2 linked regions of the Arabidopsis thaliana genome follow. The protein of the gene in region 1 interacts with the protein of each later gene in a pairwise test. Each region holds a gene or a part of one and is shown on either strand. Other genes may lie near its edges.

Evidence for each region.
Region 2: the proteins of SARA1A (region 1) and PRA1.B5 interact in a two-hybrid assay, tested with the Arabidopsis thaliana proteins (one large-scale study listed by BioGRID).

The regions. Positions count from the first base shown.
Region 1 is NC_003070.9:2,960,261-2,969,070, forward strand, and holds SARA1A (secretion-associated RAS super family 1), read left to right. Parts: upstream 1-4,762; 5' UTR 4,763-4,886; coding exon 4,887-5,015; intron 5,016-5,123; coding exon 5,124-5,255; intron 5,256-5,360; coding exon 5,361-5,681; 3' UTR 5,682-5,712; downstream 5,713-8,810. Other genes in the region: AT1G09170 (P-loop nucleoside triphosphate hydrolases superfamily protein with CH (Calponin Homology) domain-containing protein), read right to left, coding at 50-142, 251-319, 406-477, 561-809, 946-1,089, 1,332-1,531, 1,821-1,947; AT1G09176 (uncharacterized protein), read left to right, coding at 3,892-4,344; AT1G09190 (Tetratricopeptide repeat (TPR)-like superfamily protein), read right to left, coding at 6,003-7,457; AT1G09195 (Ppx-GppA phosphatase), read right to left, coding at 8,460-8,498, 8,710-8,810.
Region 2 is NC_003076.8:237,306-246,533, reverse strand, and holds PRA1.B5 (prenylated RAB acceptor 1.B5), read left to right. Parts: upstream 1-4,211; 5' UTR 4,212-4,420; coding exon 4,421-5,092; 3' UTR 5,093-5,322; downstream 5,323-9,228. Other genes in the region: AT5G01660 (influenza virus NS1A-binding protein), read left to right, coding at 84-423, 787-986, 1,292-1,368, 1,464-1,565, 1,664-1,853, 1,941-2,030; AT5G01650 (Tautomerase/MIF superfamily protein), read left to right, coding at 2,501-2,611, 3,086-3,286, 3,411-3,467; BRCA2B (BRCA2-like B), read left to right, coding at 5,623-5,776, 5,863-6,006, 6,142-6,303, 6,548-7,534, 7,627-7,751, 7,839-7,993, 8,155-8,277, 8,350-8,535 and 4 more. UniProt on the Arabidopsis thaliana protein: May be involved in both secretory and endocytic intracellular trafficking in the endosomal/prevacuolar compartments.

The sequences.
Region 1 (8,810 bases):
ATGCTTATATGGATAACAAGATCACCAACTTCAAGGGTGGTACAATTACCGAAGCATCACTTAGCGTCTCCTCATTTCCTGAAATAGTTCTCCCAAGATCGCCACTGCCAAGCTTATCTCTGTTTCCCGCGCTCATCAGTAGCTAAATAATTGCATATTCAAGATAAAAAGTGTAAAAAAGGTATAATTCCTTGTAATCCAAGATACATGAGATCATTAGATCTAAGGGTGAATAACTAAAGTTACTTACCAATTCGTTCTGTGTTGCTAATCTACGTTCATATTCTACCATAACGCTTTTCAGCATATCTTCCACAATCTGGAAATAAACAAGAACGGCAGAGAGTATTATTCTAAAACCTGCATTTCAAAATAATATTGATCATTTGGTAAGTTAATACTTACTACTGGAATATCTTCTTGCTTCATATCAGAAAAAACAGCACGGACAATGGCATCTATTGAACTGGCAGTTCCCTAAAAAAAAAACTAAAAATGTAAGTTGAGAGCTTTAACTTTAATCAATACTAGCTAGGGAGGCATTGGTATAGCTAACTAACATCATTTTTGGTATTAGAATCAGATTGATCTAACAAAGGTTGTTCACTTGATGGAGTGCTAGAAGGGCTATTTGTGACAGCATCCACAGGTACTTCTGAGTCTTTGCGTTTGTATTGTTTTGCAATGCCAAACGTGGTTGGTTTTGAGTTCAGAATGTATCTCCATGTACCGCTTCCTCCGCTCTGTTTCCACTCACGATATGACTTTAGAGCCAAAACACACTCCACGATTCTTGCGGATTTACCTCCCTGAGAACAACACATCAAGCACAAAACAGAATGTGTGTCAATGTTAATTCAGCTTTGTCTAGGTAACCCCTCCGGCAAGGTAGGTCAAGCTGCCTTGAATAACTATGATGACCATTGATTCGAACCTAACCATTACCTTCTCAAAATCGGAGACTTCAAACGTTGGAATACCCATTTCCTCCACAAACACAAGAAAATTTCGAAGATTTTCAAAGTACTGAAACGCAGATAGAGCTGCACCGTCTTGATTAACAAGAGGATCATTTGGAGCTTCGACGACCTGAATCAAGACTGAAACAATCAGAACAAACGGTCCTAATAACAAAGGTATCGGCAACAAAAGAATCAATTTCTCAACCTCTTTTATAAAAATATTACACAAAATGGTTGTACTAATCATGCTTGCACAACTTTATACAAGCAGGCCTAAACGTTTCAAAAAAGTCTTTGAAAAAGTTGAGCATAAAATATTCTGTAATAAAGAAGAGGAAAACATAAGAGAAATTAGGTGAGAGACATTACTTTTGGGACAGCACCAGGTTTAACTCTGTTGAGGACATTGCAGAGTAAAATTCCACTTCTTAATGCAATTCTAAAATCTTCCTCTGAAGGATCTGCTGGCAAATCTCTTCCTCCAACTACACCAAGTGTGTTCCTTACCCACCTTGCTGCTTCATACCTTCTCAAGTCTGAAGGATCTACTGGCAAATCCCTTCCTCCAACTACACCAATTGTGATGATTAAAATAAGCACTTAAAAATATGAAATATGTTTCATGATGATCTAGGTAAACAAATATAAAGATCGTAACAACAAAATTTCAGAAAATCATTGGTGAAACAAGAAGCTCACGCGGTATATGGATTCAAAAAATGCGATGGATCATCCTAAAAAAATTATGTAATCCATCTATATTCCCTAATTCAATTATCAATTACAAACCCTAATCTCAAAAATGGACCAAAAGGACAAATAGAAAAAGAAAGAACAGAGGAATATTGACGAACGTACAAGTTTCATCGGCTTTTTTCAAGCTCGAAGAATCCACACCAACGCTAACTTGAATGTTTCGTTGTTTAAGAAAATCCTCCAGAATCGTCGCCAAACAAAGTTGTGAATCTTGTTGCTCCGTCGCCATTGACAAGAAACGATTCAATGCTCTTAGCTTGATCAACAAGAAACCTGGAAAATTCTCAAACCCCAAATCTCGACCACTAGAATCTCACAACCAAAATTTAGAATTCTTAACTCGAAACAGATTTTTCCAAAACCGAACAAAGAAAATCAAAGCTGTGTAGATAGATACAAGAATATTCACTTATATGTGGAACATTGCTCAGATTTATAAGGAAGAGAAAATATAATGAAAGAAATTGAGAGAGAACAAAAAAAATGTTTGACCCTCTCTTTGTTTTTTTTTTGTTTTTTTGTTGTTCTTTGTATGAAATTAAAACAACAGAAAAAGGAAACGAAGAAGAAGAGCGAGGCATGATTCAGAGGCCCCCGAGTCTCCTGGGTTTCTATAGATGGACAATTTCAATATTATAAATCATTTTCTGTTTATTATTCTTAATTGCTCCATTTTAATATGTACGAACTTCTATAGCTACGGAATTTATAACCCGTTTATGTAGTTTCCAACCATCCACTAGGTTTTATAATGGGAATAAATAAATTTGTACTATGTTTTAACAAAAATTCTTAGCGATTACAATTCCCAGTTGATCTAAACAGAATTTGTATCTCTTTGTACTAATAAGTAATACCATTGTCTTATTAAAATTTATGTTTAAATTTGAAAAGTTGCATGTGTAGCTAGTTATATACCAATAGAAATGTGCAATTCTATGCAGAGCTATTTTACTTCCCTTATAATAAATTAGAAAGTGAAAATAAATTCTGGGGATCTCTAAATTCTATGAAGAAATAAAGGCTTATAATGAAACTCTTGGTTGGACAACTACCTTGTATAACTATTTTTTCTTGCGTATGTAGAGGTGTTTTGAAAGCCAATATAAACATGATTCGATGGTTTTATAACCAGCTGAATAAAAGTCAGCTTGAAAATTTATTTTTAGTTTTCCTTCGAGATATATATAATTCAGTCAACAAGAAATAAGATATTTAGAAATACAAACGAAAAAAGTTTTGCTTTGATGATTGTAACCACATCTTTGAATGTGACCCTATTGATAATCCAATTCATTGAAAATTATATACTTCAATTTCTTGTAGACTTTTTTCAATAATATTAATTCTTTTTTTTTCGCTTTGTGATACATTCATGGAGTACATGATACCAACTCATTCAAAAATTGGTGAAGATATAATATTTTAATGGTGTATATAATACACACGATATTGGGAAAAAAACAGACACGTATTACCACGAAGTTATATGTTGCTATATATCGTATAATGCTTGGAAACTTGAGACTAATTAGTTTAGCACCAGTTGGTAACCTGATGTAGATTATTGTAAAATGATCTGTGATGCGTGTTGCGGGTCGTGAACGGAATGAGAAGAGGTAGACATTGTAATAGGTTAGTTTAGTTTGGTCACTTAATGTTGTGTATTGATTATGCCTGGAAAATGAAACCAATGGAACGTAACTAGACTCATTCAGAAATTAAACGAAATGAAACAGAAATTAAAGATAGTAAATAGACCTACTTAAGTTAATGTTTGTGCTTGTAATGATCGTAAAATTGAACATAACAAAAATACATAAAGATAGATTTAGCCAGGCCATATCCAAAATTCTTTTTTTTCCTCGTGGGACCTATGACCCAAGCAAAGTTGTTGGGCCTGTTCATAGCTAAGAAAAAGTTAGTTGGCCTTTCCTTAGGAATTTTTCAAAATTTGATAAATGAGAGGCTCGACACCTTACATAAACGTAAATATTTCGCTAATATTGCTCTATAGTAGACTAGTAGTGGCATCCATTTCTTTTTTCCTAGGAAATGAAGTTAGATTTTAGACGTTGACCAGATGAAATATAAACAGAGATCGTACTACACAAAAGCTCATTTTTTCCTTTTTGGGTTAGAGCGATAAATAAACATAAAAGAAAAGATTAGTATGGAGATACACAGATTCATGAAACGTATGGTTCACGTATTACTATTGTTACTAGCGATTCATGCGCATATCCAAGCCGTTGCTTCAATCACAAATACTTCTGTCTCAGCCGTCCATCTGAAACCTAATTCCATCTTAGGTAACAAAACGTGTTGTAAGATAGATTTCCCGGTTTGGCAGCGGGAGCTTCGAAGCAGCGGTGGTGGCGGTGGAGGAGGTCGTGGTGGTGGTGGAGGTGGCAGCAGTGGTCGAGGCGGCAACAGCGGTAAAGGGGGCAGTAGAGGATCTTCTAATAGCGGCGGCCGTGGCAGCAGTGGAAATGGTAATGGCGGTACCGGTGGTGGCCATTCTGTAGGAAGCGGGGGTGACTGCTTCAAACACCGTGGTCTCACCGGAACTACAATATTTCTCGTCTTCGTAAGCACTTTGATTCTTTATGCGTTGAAACAGTAATTACATGTTATTTTATTTCTGTTTCAAAGTTAAATACTCCATTGTATATACACTTTGATCATGTCTGTTGAACAATAAAAAAAATGTATCCTATGTGTTTGAATTAAATGTGGGTAGCTTTCCTCAGACGGCTCATAATAATAACTTGTGGAGGAAATAAACTCTCCTGGGTCCTGGCCATTAAGGTTTTGCCACGTGGTATTAAGCCTTTAATCTTAAAAAGTTTAACGTAATAAAAAACATCGCAACGACAAGTTCTAGGATCCGACGGTTCATATTGATCGAATGACGATGATGACTACCAATCACAAGGCTCCGCATCAATTTACCAGTCCCCATTACCCACGTGTTTTTTAATTTCTTTTTTTGTTTGCATATATATACACTAATGTTACAACATACAACTATATCTTCATCAACGAAACGAAACTTTGATTTTGGTTTTCTGTTCTGTTCTTCATCTCTCTCTGTCTCCCGATTCTGTTCTGGTGATTTTTTTGGTTGTTGTGTGGATTATAATCCGATATCAGGAAGAAGACGTCATGTTTTTATTCGATTGGTTCTATGGAATCTTGGCCTCGTTAGGGTTGTGCAAAAAAGAGGCGAAAATCTTGTTTTTAGGCCTCGACAATGCCGGAAAAACTACTTTGCTTCACATGCTCAAAGATGAGGTAGGCTTTATTACTTCTACGCTCTCTCTTCAACTAATATATGTATTACTGAGAAATTTTGTGATTCTTGTAATCGAAGATGCTTTAATATCGCTTTTGGTGTTGCAGAGATTAGTTCAGCACCAGCCAACACAGCATCCCACGTCTGAGGAACTTAGCATTGGCAAAATCAACTTCAAGGCCTTTGATTTGGGTGGCCATCAGATTGCTCGTAGGGTTTGGAAAGACTGCTATGCCAAGGTTCACATCCTAATCCTAACTAGATTACATGTTTTGTGTTTATTGATTTGCTTATGATGGAACCAAAATCAAATCTTTCTCTGTGTGTGTGTATAAACTATAAAGGTTGATGCTGTTGTCTACCTAGTGGATGCTTACGACAGGGATAGATTTGTGGAGTCGAAAAGAGAGCTAGACGCTCTTTTATCAGATGAAGCCTTAGCAAATGTTCCCTGTCTTATTCTTGGCAACAAGATTGATATACCTTATGCATCCTCAGAAGATGAGCTTAGGTATTACTTAGGTCTCACCAATTTCACTACCGGTAAAGGCATAGTGAATCTTGAAGACTCTGGTGTTCGTCCCCTTGAGGTCTTCATGTGCAGCATCGTCCGCAAAATGGGTTATGGCGAGGGTTTTAAATGGCTATCTCAGTATATCAAGTAGGAAACCAAGACAGCATTGGTGATTTGCTTCACGTTTTATGAATCAGACATCTCACTCTCTCTATTCTGGTTTTCTTTTAAGTTTTAATAGTAGTAAGTCGACTCCAAACTTCTTGTGCATTATACTATTGGCGTAGTTGTGTTTCTTTGTTGAAAGAAACCGAACAAAACAGATTTTTGTTCTAATCAATTCATTAGAAACTAATCAAACCTGGTGGCCGCATTTTCACCGAGCCAGAAAAATACAAATGTGCTTACAAATGAACTTGATTACCGTATTTAGCAATAAGTCTGGCCTCTATTGACAAAAACCAGCTACTTCTCAGACTGAAACATCGCAAATGGTGCTTTGGCCAGTAGACTTTCTAAGGCGGTTCTTTTTCATCAACGTTCGTACCTTCTCCACATCTTGCCATCTCCCTTCCTCTGCATACAAATTAGATAACAACACATAATTCCCCGAATTCCCTGGCTCAATCTTCACTAACTCCATTGCTGCAACTTCTGCTAGCTTTACATCTCCGTGGCTACGACAAGCACTGAGCAGCGACCCCCACATTGCCGCATTTGCGTTTACGGGCATATTTTTTAGAAACTTAAACGCCTCTGTGATTCTCCCACTTCTACTCATTAGATCTACCATGGCACCGTAATGCTCGGTTCTCGCCTCAAGTTTGAATCTTTCCATCATCAAACCAAACAATTCCTCTCCTCTCTCCACCTGACCTGTGTATGAGCAACATGCCAAAACCCCCAAAAATGTCGCTTCATTTGGAGCTACTTTCCCTTCCTCTATCATAGCATCAAACAAGTCTATCCCAAATTCTCCCTTTCCGTTTACGGCTGATCCCGATATCAATGTGTTCCATGAAACAACGTTTCTACGCTGCATTTTTCTAAATATAGCCGTTGCTGCCTCCAAGTCGCCGCTTTTGCAGTAGAAATCTACCAAAGCGTTTCCCACGGTGATGAAATCTTTAAACAAACCACTGGATTCTGCGGTAGAATGAATCCATTTTCCGGTATCCAACACTCCTAGAGATGCAGAAATTGGCAAGACTGTAACCACAGTCGCCTCATCAGGGTCAAAACCTTGATCAATCATTTCGCAGAAAAGCTCCAAAGCCTCACGATCTCTACCACATTTAGACAAGCTAGATATCATCGAATTCCACGACACAATGCTTCTTTCGCTCATCTGTTTGAACAAATGAAGACCTCTTTCAACGTCCCCGGAGTCACAGAACCCGCGAATCATAAGATTCCAGACGACAACGTTTCTCTCAGACATTTCGTCGAACACTTTCTGTGCATCACCCATTCTCCCACCGGAAGTATAAAGCTCCACCACCCCAATCCTAATTTTCCCAAGACGGTGGAACCCAGTTCTTATAAGCTCACCATGAACGCATTTCCCAAATCGCAAATCAGAAAGAGACGAACAGGATTTGAGCAAAGGCGCGTAAGTATACTCGTCAGCCCAAATTCCCCGGCTTTTCATGGAAGAGAAGAAAGATAAAGATTCTAGAGGCGGACCGACAAGCGAATAGCATTTGATCATGGCGTTGAAGACCAGAACGTTAGGGTTTTGGATATGAGAGAAGACGCGGTTGGCGTAATCAGAGTTGCTGAGGGATCCGCAGATAGAGATGAAGTGGGCGAGAAGGAGATTGGAACCATGAAGGAAGTGACGCAGAAGATGGGCGTGGATTTCGGGTAAACGGGTTCGAGTATTGTGGCCGTGGAGAAGACGCAGCAGCTTACGCTCGATTTCCATTAAACCTCCTCTGCTCCTCTCTACCACTCTCGCTCAATTATAGTTGTTTTGCGCCAATTTCAAACGCTATTGGTTTAAGAGTACCGGTTAAATATCGGTTTAATTTAACATGGTTAAGTACCATTTAGCTACCCTCGACCATCTGGATTTGCTTATGTTCAAGTAGTCCACTTCTAGTTATCCTGCGGTGGTAGTATTTAAATTTGATACTAGGATTCAAAATGTCGCAACTCAATTTTTTTATGATAGAAGTATAAAACAATATACTACATAGTCAGAATGAGTTACTATAAATAAATATAATTTTTTTGGAATTGTCAAAGCAAATAGTTGATACTAGAATTGTCATTGGTTGCTTCCTTACCATGGTAATAGTATCATTCTTCAGATGAGAATCAAGGGCTTCAACCGCCCCGGCTTCACTCACTTGGTCCTGCAGTCATGTGTAGATGACCTTGATTCGAAGGCAACCGTTTCAACATCTGCTTATAACCCAAATGCACACATCCAGTGGGAAAAGTTAACATGGAGTCAAATCTAGGCAAACAAAAGTACAAGTGAGAGAGGGAATCTTGTGTTAAAAGGTTTTGTTGAATCAAATAGTTAGACAAAAATTTATTGACACAACAAGTCCGTCAGGGTTGGCTAAGATGCTTAATTACCTCTTTTCATTACACCAATTCAATCTGCGTACAATCATAGTTTTACCATCAGTTTCTGGTTTAAAACTGCAAGATCATGAATAATTAAAGACCACCTGACATTTTCGACTTCACAAATTGGACAACGGAAAACTCCAGGAAAGAAACCAACAACTCTCTGTACCAAATTATGTAGAGGTTTAGTTTTGCCGTGACAGAGGAAATGGTTTATGATAGTTATTACTTGTTATATAACATGCTTTTGATCTTTGATGCAGAGAAAGTTTCTCATACCTGCTAGAGTTGCCTCAGTTTAGTCATACCGATAACTCATTGATCTTAGAAACCGTCTGATTGATTTTCAGGAAGGAAAAACAATCACCATTTCCTTTTTGTATAGCTGCTGAGTTCAAAGCAAACGAATACCAGAAAATTATATATGGAGGCTTTGGTACATTAGCTGTTGAGGTAATGTTTCCACAGTGTCTCTATTACTGTTACTAATCGATCATAGATATTTGCTGATAGCTGACAGTTCATTGCATGAAATTCAAACATTTGATAACCAAAGTGAAATTGATCAAAATTATTGGGTAATAATGAATGTTTACCCTTTTAAAATGCTCAACTTCTTTCTCCAGTTGTGATTCATCAGAGTTTTTGTTTACTTGATCTTGACAACCAACCTCTACCGGTTCCTGGTGTTGTCTTT
Region 2 (9,228 bases), on another chromosome or scaffold:
CCCTTGTTTTTGGAACCAATAAGCTCAAAATATAGTGGTGGAGAAACCATAACACTTTTACTTTTCGATATTTGGTATTTCAGGACAAAGCACACAAGGAAATTTATCAATTGACAGAGCGTTGCAACATGCTGGAGTCCATATCAGGTCCTTTAATCACCAAAGCTGGTGGCAGTGATTTGGAGATCCATTCACCAGATGATACCAGCTTAGATCCAACTGAGGCAATTCTTCTTTTAGGGGGATTTGATAAAGACTCTGAAACATGGTTGTCATCAGTGCAGTCATATTTTCCATCCAGGAATGTTGTAAAGGCTCATAGTTCAATGAGCTGTATCCGTTCAAATGCATCAGTGGCAAAGTTGGATGGTAAAATTTACGTCTTTGGAGGTGATGACGGTGGCCGTGGCTGGACCAACTCAGGTACGGCCTCTCTTTTTCTCTTGTTCTTAAAATGAGTTAACTATTTAGTGCATTAGAGCCTGTATACAATACATATATAAACCTATAAACCTTCCAGATATTCTTAACAGACAACTAAAAGAACTAGAAAACGGAATATGGGTGGCAAAAGCATACTACTGTGACTTTCATTATATTACTAAACCAAATGGCTCTAGTATTTTTAGCAAATTGTGAAGTGAGGTGTATTAATTTAGTGCACTTCACTTCGGCTGTGCATATTTTAAGTTAATGTCTACCACTTCACACTTCTTTTTCTCTCTAACCATAATTATTTAAGCCTGATCTTTGATTTCTGTTTTGCCTCTTCTTTTTTCTGTGAAGCTGAATCCTTTAACCAGACTGATGGCCAGTGGAGCTTGTGCCCCCCCTTAAACGAGCGAAAAGGAAGTTTAGGTGGAGCCACTTTGGATGGAAAAATATTTGCAATCGGAGGTGGGAATGGGATGGTATCTTTTTCAGATGTTGAGATGCTTGATCCAGATATAGGGAGATGGATCAGAACAAGGTCAATGGGGCAGGAGGTAAACGTTCTTCTCTATTCGCATGACATATGGTGAAAGCCAAAAATCTGAAAAGTTGTCAATTAGATCCCCACTGGGAAATTTTTGACAGAAGCTCACAGCTAAAAACATAAATTCCCAAAGAGAATCCATTGTTAAAACTACTCTATTTCGCTAAGTTATAATTTCAAGTAAGGAGTGTCAGGTTAACAATAGAAATGTAGTTTATGCTTCCACTCACCTACTGGTTATAAGCCTTAGCAAGATGATACCATGACCTTCTCCTCGGCTTTATTCTCTGAGTTGTCACTGCTCTTTGATCTCAGAGATTTGCAGTTGCGTCCGTGGAGCATAAAAGTTCAATTTATGCTGTCGGTGGTTATGATGGTAAAGAGTACCTGAAGTAAGAACATTTAAGCCTTGTGTTCTATTTTTTCCCCTAATCTTGACACATGTGAAGCTAACAAGAACAATTTATTGGAAACTTACTTTTAACAGCACAGCTGAAAGGTTTGATCCTAGAGAGCACTCCTGGATGAATATTGCATCGATGAAGTCGAGAAGAGGCTGCCATTCTCTTGTTGTTCTGAATGAAAAACTGTAAGTTTCTTCTCCCCATTTTTCTTCTTCTTTGAGAGTAACTAACAGACAAATTTTGGGTAAGAGTTTTAAGGTTGTATTCATATGCACTATTGCAGATATGCGATTGGTGGGTTTGATGGTGAGACAATGGTATCGAGTGTTGAGATATATGAGCCAAGGACAGGGACATGGATGACGGGAGAACCAATGAAGGATTTAAGAGGATATTCAGCAGTGGCAGTGGTTAAAGACTCAATATATGTGATCGGAGGATACAAAGGGGAAGAGGATGACATATTAGACACTGTAGGATCAGTTCTGAACTTGAAATGAAATTAAAACAATTTACATAAGCAGACACGGTTTAATCTTTGATCATGTGTGTGTTTGCAGGTTGAGTGTTTTAAGGAAGGTGAAGGGTGGAAAAACGTGCCTTCTTCCTCGATCGGTAGGCGTTGCTTTCTATCTGCGGTGGCTTTGTAAATGGGGAAACTTTGAAGCTGTTGTTTTTTTGGTGGCCAAGTCATGAGAGACAGAGATAAGCCTTTAGGAGTTTTGATTTTGGGGAAAGAGTTTCCCTCTATGAAGTAGAAGCAAAATGGAAATATCGATTTGCTATAAAAAAGTACAAAAAAACATCTAACCAATTAGGTGCGTTCGGGTCTAGGTCGAGAGATCTATTTTATAAACGTTCCTGGGCACTCAAATTTGAGCGGGCTTTTATAACTAGATTAAGGCCCATTTCTAAACAAAATAATCCAAAATCACTTCATCAGAGCGTTTGAAAGAATCTTCGAAACGAGAATGCAAACGTAAAAACGATGGGCTTGGGCCTAAGCGAATAAAAAAGGTTTAAGGATAAAAGGGGAAAATTCCTGGGTGGTCTTACTCTCTTTATCCGCTTGACTAAAAAAAATTGGCGTCGAGTGATAGAGACGAAGAAGAAGAAGAAAATGCCGTGCCTCAACCTCTCCACCAACGTTAACCTTGACGGCGTCGATACATCTTCCATTCTCTCGGAAGCTTCCTCCACCGTCGCGAAAATCATCGGCAAGCCTGAGAACGTAATCCCTTTTTCTCTCTCGATTTAACCTCTAGTTCGTTTCGTTCTGTTCGAATTTTGTTTCGATTCTTCGTTTTCTCCTGAGATTTGCCTTGTGTGCGTCTTTATCTCTTAATCATTTTCTTCTCCTTATTGAATAACAGCGATTCGAGTGTTGTTTTCTTCACATGCATGATATAGAAACCCTAAGCAATTTTATCTCGTTGCTCCGTTCTATTCTAGTGGTTCACATTTCCGGAGTCTTCTCTTGACTTATTTGTACAATCTTCGTTGGGGTTCTTCTTTTTTATTTTACCACGATTTCTAGGCCATTCCTGGCCCTTGAATTTCTCATTGCTGAAGTTTGTTTTCAAAAACAATATTGGTCTGCTTTGACGATTGCTTGTTTATGTTAGTGATGTTTAAATATTTTTGTCCTGTAATGTTGTTTCTTAGATCATTATCTGATTGCATTGTTCATTGTGGTAATTTGCAGTATGTGATGATTGTCTTGAAAGGCTCAGTGCCTATGTCATTTGGCGGGACCGAGGATCCTGCAGCTTATGGTGAATTAGTTTCTATCGGTGGCCTTAATGCGGATGTGAACAAGAAGCTAAGCGCTGCTGTTTCCGCCATTCTTGAGACTAAGCTATCGGTGCCCAAGTCTCGATTCTTCCTCAAGTTTTATGACACCAAGGCAAGCAATTCCCTCTCTCTGATAACTTTTTTGATGTAGTGACATAACATATGCAAATGTGTTAATGATTTCATATGCCCGATATGCGTCCATGTCTCATTTTCATTGTTCGTTGTCTCTCTAGGACCATCAAAGTCAAGAATATGCACAATGTTTACACGCTTTACACCAGCACTACTAGGTCATGAATAGGGAACAAATACATCTTATGTGTGTAAGTTCATCATCATAAGACGGACCTATAACTTTTACTCATAAACTAGGCATTATAAACAATTAAATCAAATGCATAAACCGTTCCACTACTCGAATTCAATCTTTACACCCACACTGTTGAGTTATTTAGGAGATTCGTTCAACTTCTCTAAATCCGTTGTCTAACTGGCTTAGAGGGTCATCCATCATCTGGAGTGTTTATGCCTATAACCACCTGATATATCAATTATACATTTCTTTTCTCGTGTGGTTCTTCTTGCAGGGATCCTTCTTTGGTTGGAACGGGGCGACTCTTTAATTCCGTGGTAGGTGATTAGTGTGATTGTCTTGAAATGTATGATCTACTCTCATCGATCAAGTAACTTTGAACTACTTCGTATTGTAAACATATCTAAGGTTTGATGGAGTTGCATTAAGAAATAACATTTATGCTATATATGATGCTACAACTTACTATCAGGGTAAACAATGGTTATTTAGTCTTTGTCTACTCGTTAGATATAATTATGTTTAGAATTCGAAGATGAATGTTATCAAAGAAAAAAGGATTTGACATTGTCAAGTCTACTACTCCATATGACAGATCAACATTGTGTTAAAAATATTTTCTATTAGGGAAACTTCCTGTGACTGGAACATTAATGGTCAAATGCACTTTGCCTAAGTAATCAAGAATTATTGTATAAACTACGTTAAGCAAAAAAATAACCTGAGTTATAATATCAGGAGGTTATTTTTATTTTTATTTTAGCAAATGAATATAGATTAGCTATCAGATGAAGCAAGGTGTATAATCAAAGTTGAAAGACGCGTAATTGTGATCCTATATATACATAACACTACCGCAACTTCAGCAACCTCTAAATCATTCGTCTCCTAAAATTTTCCAATCTCAAAATCCCAAAAGAACAAAATCGAATGGTGTCAACAAATCCCCCTGTTCTTCCAATTTCCACCACCGCAACAGACACCACCAATCAGCCTCCGATTGTAACCGCTGTGGTGGAATCGCAACCTCCAGTCGTCCGTGCATTTGTCAACGGTGTGACCGAGACGGTCTGTGGTGGTCTATCTCGTAGCCGTCCGTGGTCAGAGCTCCTCGATCGATCCGCTTTCACAAAGCCTGACTCTCTCTCCGAGGCCGGGACGCGATTCCGGAAAAATTCCTCTTATTTCAGGGTGAATTACGTTTGCATTGTCGCTCTGATCCTTGGTTTCTCTCTTCTCGCCCACCCATTCTCTCTCATCCTCCTCCTATGTCTCGCCGCTTCCTGGCTCTTCCTCTACCTCTTCCGTCCATCAGATCGTCCTCTTATCCTCTTCGGCCGATCTTTCTCCGAATACGAAACTCTCGGTGGCCTAATCCTCTCCACGATCGCAGTGATCTTCTTCACAAGCGTCGGATCTGTATTGATATCCGCTCTCATGATCGGAATAGCAACAATCTGTGTCCATGGCGCCTTTAGAGCTCCCGATGATCTCTTCCTCGACGAACAAGATCATGCCGCCTCCGGATTCCTCTCATTCATCGGTGTTCCCGCGATCCCCTCTGTAGCACCCTCTGCCTCCTCAGCGGCTTCCCCCGTGTAAATTATAGTTCTCAGAATCTGGCGTGTTTAGAGATTTGAAGGTGGAGATTGTTGCAATGTAATTTTCTGTGATACTTGACCATTGTTGCAATGTAATTTTCATTGAAGTCAGTCACCAATCACATTGAACAGATGTTTTAAAATGTCCACGTAAGCAATTATTGTTTGGAACGATTTCGGGTTAGCATTCGTGCCGTTAGTTACCGCAATAAAAGGCCGTGGCAATATCACACTTGTCTTGGAACGCTATGTCCGTAAAAACCAAGCCCAAAGTTAAAATAAAACCACGCGTCTCATAATTTCGGCCCAAATCTTTTTCAACTTTCCCGCCTTTGTCAGAACTTTTAACTTTTTGGATTTTTGGTGATGATTTTGGTTTGGGGAAAGAAAATAAAACAATAAAAATAAAAATTCCGCACTCCCGACTCCTCCCTCTTGGCGTGGTAGGCAATTCTGAATCGCGAGGTTTAGTTCTCCGGCTGAATCATATAACGACGAATCGGAAAACTTGGAAACCCTAGAACTGAATAAATGTCGACGTGGCATTTATTTTCCGATTCCAGCGGCGATGGTTTCCGGTGGGAAGTCGCTGGCCGGATTCTTCAGTCCGTCTCGGATTCTACGCCAACCAAGGCGCTCGAATCGACAGCTCCTCTACCTTCCATGGCCGATCTCTTGCTCCAAGGTGATTCTTCGTATCTTCCTTTTCTTTGTCGAATCGTGTTTGTCATGTGACTCAAAGGAGATTGAATTATTATTTGATGCTTCAAGGATGCTCGAAGCTTATAGAACGGGAAGAATCGATGCCTGGGGAAATCCCAATGTTCAGGACTGGGCTGGGGAAGTCTGTAGTTCTTAAAGAGTCTTCGATTGCTAAAGCCAAATCCATTTTAGCAGAGAATGTTGCTTATTCAGGTATTTTATGTGACAGTATTGAATTCCCTTGACTAGTCATTTGTTTCTGAATTCGCTTGAATTGTTACTTAATGTTGGTGAATATGTGTTCCTGAAAATCTTTTGAATGTTCCATGTTCTTGGCTACACTTTTAGATTTGCAGAACACAAATTGCTCAATTCCCCAAACGAGACAAGTGGATACAGCTGAAACTATGCCAATGTTCAGGACGGCCTTGGGGAAAACTGTCCCTTTGAAAGAGTCTTCAATTGCCAAACCTTTGTCTATTCTAGGAAGTGATATGATAATTGACTCAGGTGTGTTCTTATCTCCTCTTTTTTTAAGTCTTATATCCAGCTGTGTGCGCATTTACATATGAACTTGTTGTTTGTGCTGCTACTCCGTTCAACTTCCAGGTTTCTTGAGTTTGGTTGTTATCAGATAAAACGATGAATAGTGAAGAACTAATCAACACACATCTTACTTCGTTTAGAGAATAAATATTAGAAGTGACATTTTTTCATAGTTTATTTGTTAATAAGATTCTTTTTGATTGTGTAGACAACGTTCTTCCCAGGGAGAGTGGGTTTGGTGTTCCCAACAGTCTTTTTCAGACAGCTTCCAACAAAAAGGTTAATGTATCTTCTGCCGGTTTAGCAAGAGCCAAGGCATTGTTAGGACTAGAAGAAGATGATTTGAATGGATTTAACCATGTGAACCAGTCGTCTTCTTCCCTCCAGCAACATGGGTGGTCCGGTTTAAAAACTCATGAGGAGTTTGATGCTACAGTGGTTAAGCATCATTCAGGAACTCCAGGACAATATGAGAATTATGTATCTGGGAAGAGATCTGAAATCTTAAATCCATCGTTAAAGGTGCCTCCAACAAAGTTTCAGACTGCTGGTGGAAAATCATTGTCAGTGTCAGCTGAGGCGTTGAAACGTGCCAGAAACCTTCTTGGTGACCCTGAGTTAGGGTCTTTCTTTGATGATGTAGCTGGAGGTGATCAATTTTTTACACCACAGAAAGATGAAAGGCTAAGTGATATTGCTATAAACAATGGAAGTGTCAACACAGGTTATATTGCTCATGAAGAAAAGACAAGCAACAAACATACGTCAAATAGTTTTGTATCTCCTCTTCATTCATCTTCAAAGCAATTTAGATCAGTTAACTTGGAGAACCTAGCTTCAGGGGGTAATTTGATCAAGAAATTTGATACGGCTGTTGATGAGACCAATTGTGCTCTGAATATCAGTAAACCTGCTACACATGGACTATCAAATAACAGGCCTTTAGCATCAGATATGGCAGTGAATAATTCCAAGGGAAACGGTTTCATTCCAAGAGCTAGGCAACTTGGAAGGCCTGCTGATCAGCCACTTGTTGATATAACAAATCGCAGAGATACAGCTTATGCAAACAATAAACAAGACAGTACCCAAAAGAAAAGGCTGGGAAAGACAGTCTCCGTTTCTCCTTTCAAAAGGCCAAGGATTTCATCCTTTAAAACTCCTTTAAAGAAAAATGCTCAGCAAGCTTCAAGTGGTAATATATACGATTAATTTTAATTTTAATTTTTTGTTAATCTAATTGGTTGGTTCTCAGATTTATAATTTTGGTGTCCTGTCTATTATCAGGTTTGTCTGTTGTATCGTGTGATACACTTACTTCCAAAAAGGTACTTTCTACAAGATATCCAGAAAAGTCTCCAAGAGTATATATCAAGGAGTTTTTTGGAATGCATCCGACAGCTACGACCAGGGTAAAATCTTTTTGTCCCTTTCACCTGTTCCTGCGTTACATAAATTTTTTCTTCATTCACTCAAACACATTTACGAGGTGGTTTTAGATGGATTATGTGCCAGACCATGTCAGAAGAATCAAATCAAGTAATGCAGATAAATATGTATTCTGTGATGAGTCTTCTTCAAACAAGGTTGGAGCTGAAACTTTTCTTCAAATGTTGGCTGAGTCGGGTGCTTCCTTACAACATGCATCCAGAAAGTACTTTCTCTGTCCCTTGAAATGTTAACCGTGTTATATGTTTATTATATCAGAAAAAGTGTGTGACTGTTCGTTTGAAGCTTGCATGTGATTGTCACTCTATTAGATAGACAGTTTGATGTCTATATCTATTAACTTATCTATCACTACATATGCACTAGGTGGGTTACTAATCACTACAGGTGGATAGTCTGGAAACTTGCATGCTACGACATATACTACCCAGCCAAATGCAGAGGAAACTTTCTAACAATCACCAATGTTCTTGAGGAACTAAAATACAGGTTTCCCAGTCTCACAACACAACTCGTTACTTAAACTCATGCAAAGTCTAACATGGTTAATCTTCTTAATAGATATGAGAGAGAGGTCAATCATGGTCATTGCTCTGCAATCAAGAGGATTCTGAGTGGTGATGCTCCAGCTTCTTCAATGATGGTCCTCTGCATATCAGCTATTAATCCAAGGACCGATAATGGTTCTCAGGAAGCACATTGTTCTGATAATTGCAGCAATGTGAAAGTCGAACTCACTGATGGGTGGTATGAAATTGCTACTGCTGTTCTGTTACCTGTTTTCTTGTCTCATTTCCATAGGATTTTTTTTTAAATCACAGGTACTCGATGAATGCTGCTCTGGATGTCGTGCTAACCAAGCAGCTGAATGCTGGCAAATTGTTTGTGGGGCAGAAGCTTCGAGTAAGTTATATTCATGCAAGATATACTTTGTTTTGCAACACAGATTTTGGTTAGATCACTGACTTGCAGCATGCTTACGTTCTTATCTCTTATCTGAAGATCCTCGGGGCAGGACTTTCTGGCTGGGCTACCCCAACATCACCACTTGAGGTTTCCTAGACTTTGCATTTTATAAGATTTTCTGATATCTTCTCAGGTTGGTTTGTTCTTAGAGTTTCGTTCAACCAAACTTTCAGGCAGTGATTTCAAGTACAATCTGTTTGTTGTTGAATATTAATGGGACATACAGAGCTCACTGGGCGGACCGACTAGGCTTCTGTAAGTAGCTTTATGCTGTGGACCTCACTACATCATCTGAGTTCTTATTGCTTTCATATTATTATCTTTCTATTGATCGTTCTTAATCTCTTCCTCAAGGTAAAGAAATTGGTGTCCCTCTGGCTTTCAACTGTATCAAGTGCAATGGGGGTCCAGTGCCTAAAACGCTAGCTGGCATCACACGAATATACCCCATCCTATACAAGGAAAGGTCAATAT